Arabidopsis thaliana: one gene and its partner. The protein of the gene in region 1 purifies or fractionates together with the protein of each later gene. This does not show direct contact. Each region holds a gene or a part of one and is shown on either strand. Other genes may lie near its edges. The genes, in order: AT3G27980 and AT4G28440.

Region 1 (4,702 bases):
GTATCTAAATTTTCGAGTGTGTGTTGTGTGAGATGCCTAGATTGTTATTGAACTTTGTAATAATGCATTAATCTCAATTATTGATTAATTGACTGCTTTTTTTCCAATCACACATTACTTAAAATATGATTCCATTACTTGATATTTAAATTTTAGAAGAATATACATTTCTGTTAAATATATTAAACACTTTTATTTTTTAAAAGGTATGAGTTAAAAAAATCAACTTTAATACTAGATAAAAAAAACGAAAATTGAAAGAAAGCAAAATATTAGAAAAACTAGCACAAAACATACTGATATCTTATTGTATAAATTTTATTTTCAAAGTTAGTCCAGTCATTAATAAGATCACCACACATGACTCATAACTTAAACAATATGTAACAAACTTTTCATCTTGTGTGGCTTTTCCTTCATATCATATAAAAGATTTGGACAGTCAATCATATACATAATAAAAAATAACCTTATTTTTTGTAGTAATTACATAGGTATGCCATTAGAAATAAAAATTTAAAGAGTAAATTAATTCATCTTTTTAAAGGTTAATAATGTTTAAGACAATAAATTTTGTGATATGGCATATAATATTTTGAATAACTTTAACACTAACTAATTGAATATTTTCAATAAATAATCATACTCGCACTCATTAGTCATAACATCATCAATTTAATTCTTTTTTTATGGGATTATTATATGTACTTGATGACTAAAACTTTGAGAATATTTTCATGAATAATATGAATTTCTTCAATTGATTACAATATTTATCAAAAACAGCAGTTACCAAAAATAATAGTTTCATATTAAATTTTACACGTTGGTCATATAGGGAATCCTTGCGTACTGCATTCTGCATGGCATGTCAGCACAGTGAATCAGCATGTGATATAATTTTACTATAAGTAGAGCATTCATCAGTCGTGAATTTTCGGAATATATATTGATGATAACGTCGGTTGTTAAATGACACAAAAATAATGACGTCGTTTTGAGAACCGTTGTAACATCGTCGTAACAACAATATAGAAAAGACACAAGCATAAAAAAGAAGCCTACGCAACAATTACTACAACATCAATCTCCATATTGAATTGTCTTCTGATATACAATACCATTCCATGCCAAGCAGACTGAGACTTTATAAGTATGTGAAGCATCTCACGAGAGTTCTCAGTCAAATGCAACTCAACAAAGAAATCATAAGAAAGCATTGAGAAGCAAATTAGTTCATGAACCACATCACATCAGCATCCTGGAGACCAAAAAAGGAAGACAGTGAATCACTCAATAGAAGAACTGATAAGTTCTTGCTTTCAGTGCCAAGAGTGTAAGAAACATACCGCAAAAACAGACTACTAAACCCTTTTCAAGAACAATCCGAAGGAAATTGATTCTTCTCCACATCATTTAGCATCCAAAGCAATGACCACCATCTTTAGTTACAGCTCTACGCAGCACATCTAAAGCTTTCTTGTTCTTTTACCAATTCTAAAAATCTCAAAGAAGAGATCGATTCCAGATACAAGAGCTGCATAAGATTCATTCAAAGTTGTCAAAATTACAGTACCATTTTTTTACGGAGGAATGACAAGTTATGAGAGTGTATCTTTTCGGGTAAACATTGTAACGTAGTGAAAGTTGAGAGTGAATTGCGTAACAACCGATAGAATGAACCAAAAAGAAAAAAAGAACATCTTTTCTATCGCCCAAAAATAAATCTAAGGGTTTTCTATTTATTAGGTGTATATTGTCTTTTCTAGTACTAAAACAATAATGGCTAAGTCTCATCCTCACAAGAGATTAAGGTTGAGAATATATTGTATTGTTGTTAGCATAAACAAAAATAGATGAAACCAATTTCTACCAAATTCATTTTTTTTTAAGCCATTTAGAGTACATTGGGTAACAAGTATTTCAACTAAATTACTCTAAGACAATTCTTTCTATCTTTTATGAGCTGAAATATGGACCACTTTTCTTTTCTGTTCTTTGTGGATAATAAAACCAAACTTCACTGAATTATATCTTCAATTCACATTGCACTAAATTTTTAGATTGATCTCAAAATAAAGTTTTTTTCCTAAATATTGTCGTTTATCGAATACAATTAATTAAAGGATAAATTGATTAAGTTGCTTTGCTTTGTATATAAGACCACCATCGCTCCCTCCTCTTTCATCAGTTAAGATAATATAAATTCAGTAATTAAGAGAGAAGAAATAAATACAAAAATGTTGGTTAAAGTTTTCTCTTTTTTCATCCTTATGATAATAATGGTAATTGGCGTTAGCAAAGAATATTGTGATGACAAACAGTCATGTCAAAACCTTTTGTTGGAGCTTAAGGCGGGTTCATCGTCACTCTCGGAGATTAGACGTCGTGACTTATTGATCATCGTTTTGAAGAATTCCGTACGGAGGATCGACATGGCTATGATTGGTGTGATGGATGATACAAAACAACATGAAGAGATGGAGAATGATATGCTTGGTGTGAAGGAGGACACAAATCTATTTGAGGAGATGATGGAGTCGGTAAAAGATAGGATGATCCATTCAGTGGAGGAACTCTTAGGAGGAGAATTCCCACACTTGGCTTAGTAGCGTTCTTACTAGCTACATCACATGTATCGACGAAATTGGTGAAGGTGCCTATAAACGCCGGGTCGAGCCAAAGCTTGAAAACCTCATTTCTAGGGCAAGAGTAGTTTTGGCTCTTTTTATCTCCATTTCACTGAGAGACAACACCGAACTTATCTCGGTGATTCCCAATGGCCCTTCTTGGTTATTCCATGTTGACAAGAAAGATCTATATCTCAATGCTGAGGTAATAAAACAGAACCTTTATATTTTGAAGTTATAATTTGATAATCGTGAAAACCCATATTAAGGATTTACTTGATACTCAAGTAACAAATATTTAGGATTTTTATATTTACCTTTTATTGTAATTACTTTTAGGTAGATAATTCCTTTTCCTTAGAGATCAGCCCTTGTATAAAAATAGACCTTAAGGTCACGTAATGAAGAACACAATTCGATCGATATGTTTGACCCTCTTAACAAACCTTTTATCCTTTTTTTTCTTTCTTTCTACTGCTTATAGAATTTCTTCTGTTTCTTATAAAGCAGGCTCTAAAGAAGATTGCTGATGTTGTGGTCGCGAAGGATGGGACCGGAAAGTACAGCACAGTGAATGCGGCCATTGCAGCGGCACCTCAACACAGCCAAAAGAGATTCGTCATCTATATAAAGACAGGCATTTATGATGAAATCGTCGTCATTGAGAATACGAAACCCAATTTAACTCTTATAGGTGATGGTCAAGATTTAACCATCATCACAGGCAATTTAAGCGCTAGCAATGTTAGAAGAACGTACAACACCGCAACTGTTGGTAAGAATTTGTATTCTCTTCTTGAATAGTTTATAGTTTTCTCTTCTTTATACCAAACTATAACATTCTTAAAGACATTACTAATTATTCTAAAAATATGTTTGAAGCTTCTAATGGTAATGGATTCATCGGAGTAGACATGTGCTTTCGAAACACGGCCGGACCGGCAAAAGGACCAGCTGTTGCCCTCCGTGTGAGTGGTGATATGTCCGTCATTTATAGATGTCGTGTCGAGGGATATCAGGATGCCTTGTATCCTCATAGTGACCGCCAGTTTTATAGGGAGTGCTTTATTACCGGCACTGTAGATTTTATATGTGGAAACGCGGTGGCGGTCTTTCAATTCTGCCAGATTGTAGCAAGACAGCCTAAGATGGGGCAGAGCAATGTCATAACCGCTCAATCACGCGCGACTAAGGACGTCAAATCGGGCTTCTCAATTCAAAACTGCAACATCACAACAAGTTCGGATCTAGATACAGCAACCGTAAAAACGTATCTTGGAAGACCTTGGAGGAGATTTTCAACAGTCGCGGTTCTGCAATCTTTCATCGGTGATTTAGTTGATCCCGCAGGCTGGACTCCTTGGAAAGGAGAAACTGGTCTATCAACTCTCCACTACCGCGAATATCAAAATAGGGGTCCGGGAGCTGTGACTAGCAGAAGGGTGAAGTGGTCAGGATTTAAAGTTATGAAAGATCCTAAAAAGGCTACAGAATTCACTGTAGCCAAGCTCTTAGATGGAGAAACTTGGCTGAAAGAAAGTCGAATTCCATATGAAAGTGGATTGTAATAATGTTGTTCCATGCTTCACATGTATAACGTATAAAATAAAAGATATTATTCTTCTATAATTTTTTCCATGATTTTCTACAAAGATGGTAAGAAAGTGATATCTGGGAAATATCACGAAGGGCTTTACTATCTTGAAGGCATGGTTGTTAAGGCTGAAAAGAGTGTACCACATGCTGAAAATGGTGGAAAAAGTGTTGTCAAGGCTGTAGTTGGAGTGAGGAAGAAGAAGTCAAGGAAGGTGACTTTCAGCGTGAATTTAATTCAAAGGACCTACTCCATATGGCTTTGGAATCATCAGTTCAAGGTGGAGATGAATCCTCAACAGAAGAATCAGATTGTTTAGAGGAGGTTAAATCTGAGAAAAGTGAAGGACCTTCTGATGACAGCCACTGTTGAGAGATCAAAACAAGGAGTGGATGTTGTGTGATAGTAAAATGAAGGATGAAAGGATTACGATGCCAGAAAGTATCATTAAGAAAGGGGACACGTTAAAGTTGAAATG
Region 2 (3,982 bases), on another chromosome or scaffold:
TTACAGACACAGGCACTTGCCAAAACCAATATACAAAGCGATGGGTATCATTCGAACTGTGAACGATTCGAAGAGAAGAAAAGAAGCACGAAGGAAAGCTCACAGTGCTCCAGGAACAGTGGTCACAGCACCTCTGCGCAAAAGAAAGATCATCAAAGAAGTGGAGTGACTCTACTCTTTCTCCGTTTGTTCCTTTCAAGGATGATGATACGTGGAGAGGATTGTATTGGTATAGTGAGGGTAAGATTAGGAACATGAACATTTTTGCTGTGTTGTAAGCCTTTCTTTATGCCATTAAGTTATTACCCATTTCGTTTTCTTTTTTCTCTTCACTACGTATTGTGTTCATTAACTATTCGTTTTTGGTGTTACAAAGCTGATCTTCAAAGTAACATTCTGATTTCAAAGATTTATAAAGTTTGGAATTAGACCGACTTAACTAGACAATGGTTCTATGATCCGTCGATGAATTTTATGCACTTACAATTTGTCTTAACAATGACATTAATCAAGGATGAGATGCTTTCGATGTAAAAAGTTGGGCAAAACTCTCTGTAACCGAGAGGGTACAATAGTGTACATCAAATAGTAATTAATGAAAAAACAAAGACATTAGTAAAGTTTAAGAAAGAAAAACTTATTTTTACTGTATTAGATAGTGCACAAGCAAGCTCTCAATGGTCTTTAACTTACATCAACACAAATTAAAAGGAACAATTGCATTACGCCATTACCGCAGGCTCAATAGTTCTCCAGAGCAAGATCATGACCGCATATTTTAGGGTAAAAAAGAAGAAGCATATTCCTACAAGCAACTCTGGACCAGTCATACAATCTTCATCATCTAAATCAAAGACCTTCACGGTAGAAAAATCAGAACCCAACACTCTCAGGGGTTAACCTCCATAAACATACTAAAAGATCACTGATCACCACCAACATTGATCAGTTCATACTCAACGAGAGACAGATTGTTATCCTCCTTGACAGTGAAAGACGCGGCTCCAGTGGCTTCGATGCGTCCCCATTTATCAACTCCTAGCCTCATTGTACCCTTGAACATGTCTATCCTTGAATTGCGCAGTATCACCGTAGCACCCGGCTTCATAAGATCAACTATACACACACACACACACACAAAAAAAACCAATAACATCATTAGAGCTAATCAGTAGCCACATCAATTGCACGAAAACTGGTATAACAAAACTTCACATTATGAAAAGCTATGAAAGTTTTGGGATAATGTAGACCATTCAATTGAACATAACTCAACATCTAACCAAGCAAGTTTCATCATCACTATAGGTAAGACTATACAGAGTTACAGACCCTCAAGGCCAAGATTCTTTCAAGCTTCAATTTCACAAAGACATCACTAAATACACATACAATAACTGATACATCATTTACCAAATAGTACTAATAGAAACACATTTACCATTTGCTCAAAATAGAAATTGATTAAGACAAACGAGAGAACAACAAAGGATAAGACTTATCACTCTAATAAACTACGAAGACACCATTTCTATATCCATAAAGCAAGAGAAAAGTGGAGAAACAATAACCTTGATCGTTACGAGCAGTGAAGAGGATACACCCAGTTTCGTCACCGATGAGACACTCAACGATTCGACTAGGCTGAGAAGGACGACTCAGAGAACTCGCTGGACGAGTCTTCCGGGTAACAGGAACCACGATATTAGCCTCAATGACTTTAACAGTCAACGTGTGACCAGTCGTTCCAGGCTTTAGCTGTTCCACCTTCACAAACACCGGTTTTCTCTTCACCGTCGAAGTTCCCGTCGCAACCGCAGCAGTTCCAGTCGTCGCCATCGCTTCAAATTACAATACCCAGATTTCGCGTTCGCCCTAATTTGGTGGAATCGATAAAACTTTTGGAGAAGAGAAATGGGAATTTAGGGTTTATAAAGAAAAGACGACGATGTGCTCTCTCCCAAGACGGACGAGAGTTTTTATCACCTGCTTCTCACAGTTTCATGAGCTTGTCACGTGTCAATTTATTATTTGATATTAATGACTGCTCTTTATTTATTATTACGTAAATGTGAAATATTATTACACAGGTGGATACTGAAAAGACACTAGTGACTAGACTAATAAAGCTTCTTTGGTGCTTTGGTTTCTGCAACTAGCACCAACGCTTGCTCTTCTTCTGCTGACCGCGGTGAAGTTGACTTATCCTCCGGCGATTTTTGTTGCTCCGGGTGAGTTTTTTCTTGTTGCTTCTTCTCCTCCTCATCCTCGGAATCTAACTGTAGATTCTGTCGTCTGTATCTGATTACTACTACTATGATAAACACTGCAATAAAACGGGTCTTGAGAGAAGTTAGATTCCAGAATGCAGTAACTGCAGAGCCTGCTACGAATTTCTTGTGTGTGCAAACTCCCCAAGCTTCAACAAATCTCCTTTGTGCACACTCAACTACACATAAGCAAAGATCAAAGAATCCTTAGTGTCAATCATTGGAACCATCAAAGAGCTACGCAGTCTGTTAATAGAGTTTACCTTTTTGGTTAAGCTGACTTGCGTAACATGAATATAGCTTTGGAATAGTGAAGCTAAGGAAGAAACCTGTTTAAAGAAACAATGCATACTCTGTGTCAATTCTACTAGATACAACTAAAGAAAACAGTTTAGCTTTCTTTGGAGTAATGTTGACATATAGTGTTTCAACAATCATACCAAAAGCACATAATCTCCACAATGTTATGAGGTAACCATACTCAGCTCCCATTAGAACAAAAGGTGCCACCTGAAATCAAAGTAAAAACAGTGTAAGAAGGACAAAATCAACGTGAGAGTCACATTCATTGGAGAGAAGTTTTATGAGAATGGCAAAGTTTTGTAAATTCTACTTTGAGTGTCATTGCTGGTTCACCAGAGAAAAGCTCACTCGTCTTTGAAATTGCTAAATTGGTGATGGGAAGCATTCGTCTAGCTATTCGTAATACATCATCTTCACTCAATTTAAGCTCTCTCCGCGCTTCTTCAGTAACCCTTTATGGTAACAAATGGATCAAAACTTCAGTCAACTGCAGTTCAAGCTGATATTTATGTACTGGGACCTTAAAAGTTTGTACCTTTGGCGAAGAGTATTTGACAAGAACGATACCCCAAGAAACAAAAGTCCAAGATAGGAGATCGCTGAGAAAACACTTCAAACCACACAAAGTTTCATTATCAACTCATGAATGTGAAAAATGATTAAAGCTAGAAAGATAAACCTTGACAGAGAAATCAATGTTACCTAAAGTTAAATCCTTTAGCAGCAAAGCAAGTAGATAGGAAACATATACAGCCAAAACCAAACCAAAGTGTTGATTTCGCAACATCTCTCCACATAATCAAATCGCTTATATTCTCTCTAATCCGCTCTAAATCACCTTGACAAACATCTTGAGCTGAATTACACAAATCATTGAGCAATTATTAGAGCACGAAAGTGAAATCGAATGAGCTAATAGACAGAGGAAGGACATACGTTGATCTGAAGATGGACTAGGAGAAGCTAACAGAGGAACAGAACTGTGCTTCTCCTTCTTAGATCGACCCAACTTCTTCTGTTTCCTCTGGTTTTGTTTCTTTTCATCGGTCACGACAACAATTGGCTCCGTATTTTCCTTTGTATCTACCATCGCCTCCGACCTTAGTCTCGACCTCCGGAAATTCCTCGGCGACGGCGAGGCCAAAAGACCATTTTGCCCTCCCTTCGTCTTACTCCGTCGTGCCGTCACAGCAGCCTCCGCAGCTTCCATATCGAACCGATTGCTTAAACGGGTTCTCGATTTACGAAGAGGGGAAGGAGATAAAAGGAGAATCTCACGAAGAGTAACAGGAGAAGATGGTGAACTGAGAGAAACAGGTGATGGGTAAGGAGTACCGTTGTTGTTCTTCGGAGACAATAAAACCAAATCGAGAGATGGAATGTGAGATTTTACGAGAGTTTTGTTGTTT

The links.
Region 2: the proteins of AT3G27980 (region 1) and AT4G28440 fractionate together in Arabidopsis thaliana (co-fractionation; one large-scale study listed by BioGRID). This does not show direct contact.

What each region holds. Positions count from the first base shown.
Region 1 is NC_003074.8:10,391,664-10,396,365, forward strand, and holds AT3G27980 (Plant invertase/pectin methylesterase inhibitor superfamily), read left to right. Parts: upstream 1-2,240; coding exon 2,241-2,543; exon of another isoform or gene 2,544-2,583; coding exon 2,584-2,835; exon of another isoform or gene 2,836-3,152; coding exon 3,153-3,405; exon of another isoform or gene 3,406-3,512; coding exon 3,513-4,198; downstream 4,199-4,702. UniProt on the Arabidopsis thaliana protein: Acts in the modification of cell walls via demethylesterification of cell wall pectin.
Region 2 is NC_003075.7:14,057,911-14,061,892, reverse strand, and holds AT4G28440 (Nucleic acid-binding, OB-fold-like protein), read right to left. Parts: upstream 1,998-3,982; 5' UTR 1,840-1,997; coding exon 1,572-1,839; intron 1,117-1,571; coding exon 923-1,116; 3' UTR 507-922; downstream 1-506. Other genes in the region: AT4G28450 (WD repeat and SOF domain-containing protein 1), read left to right, coding at 7-169; AT4G28430 (Reticulon family protein), read right to left, coding at 2,121-2,449, 2,534-2,599, 2,711-2,780, 2,884-3,025, 3,109-3,183, 3,276-3,429, 3,510-3,982.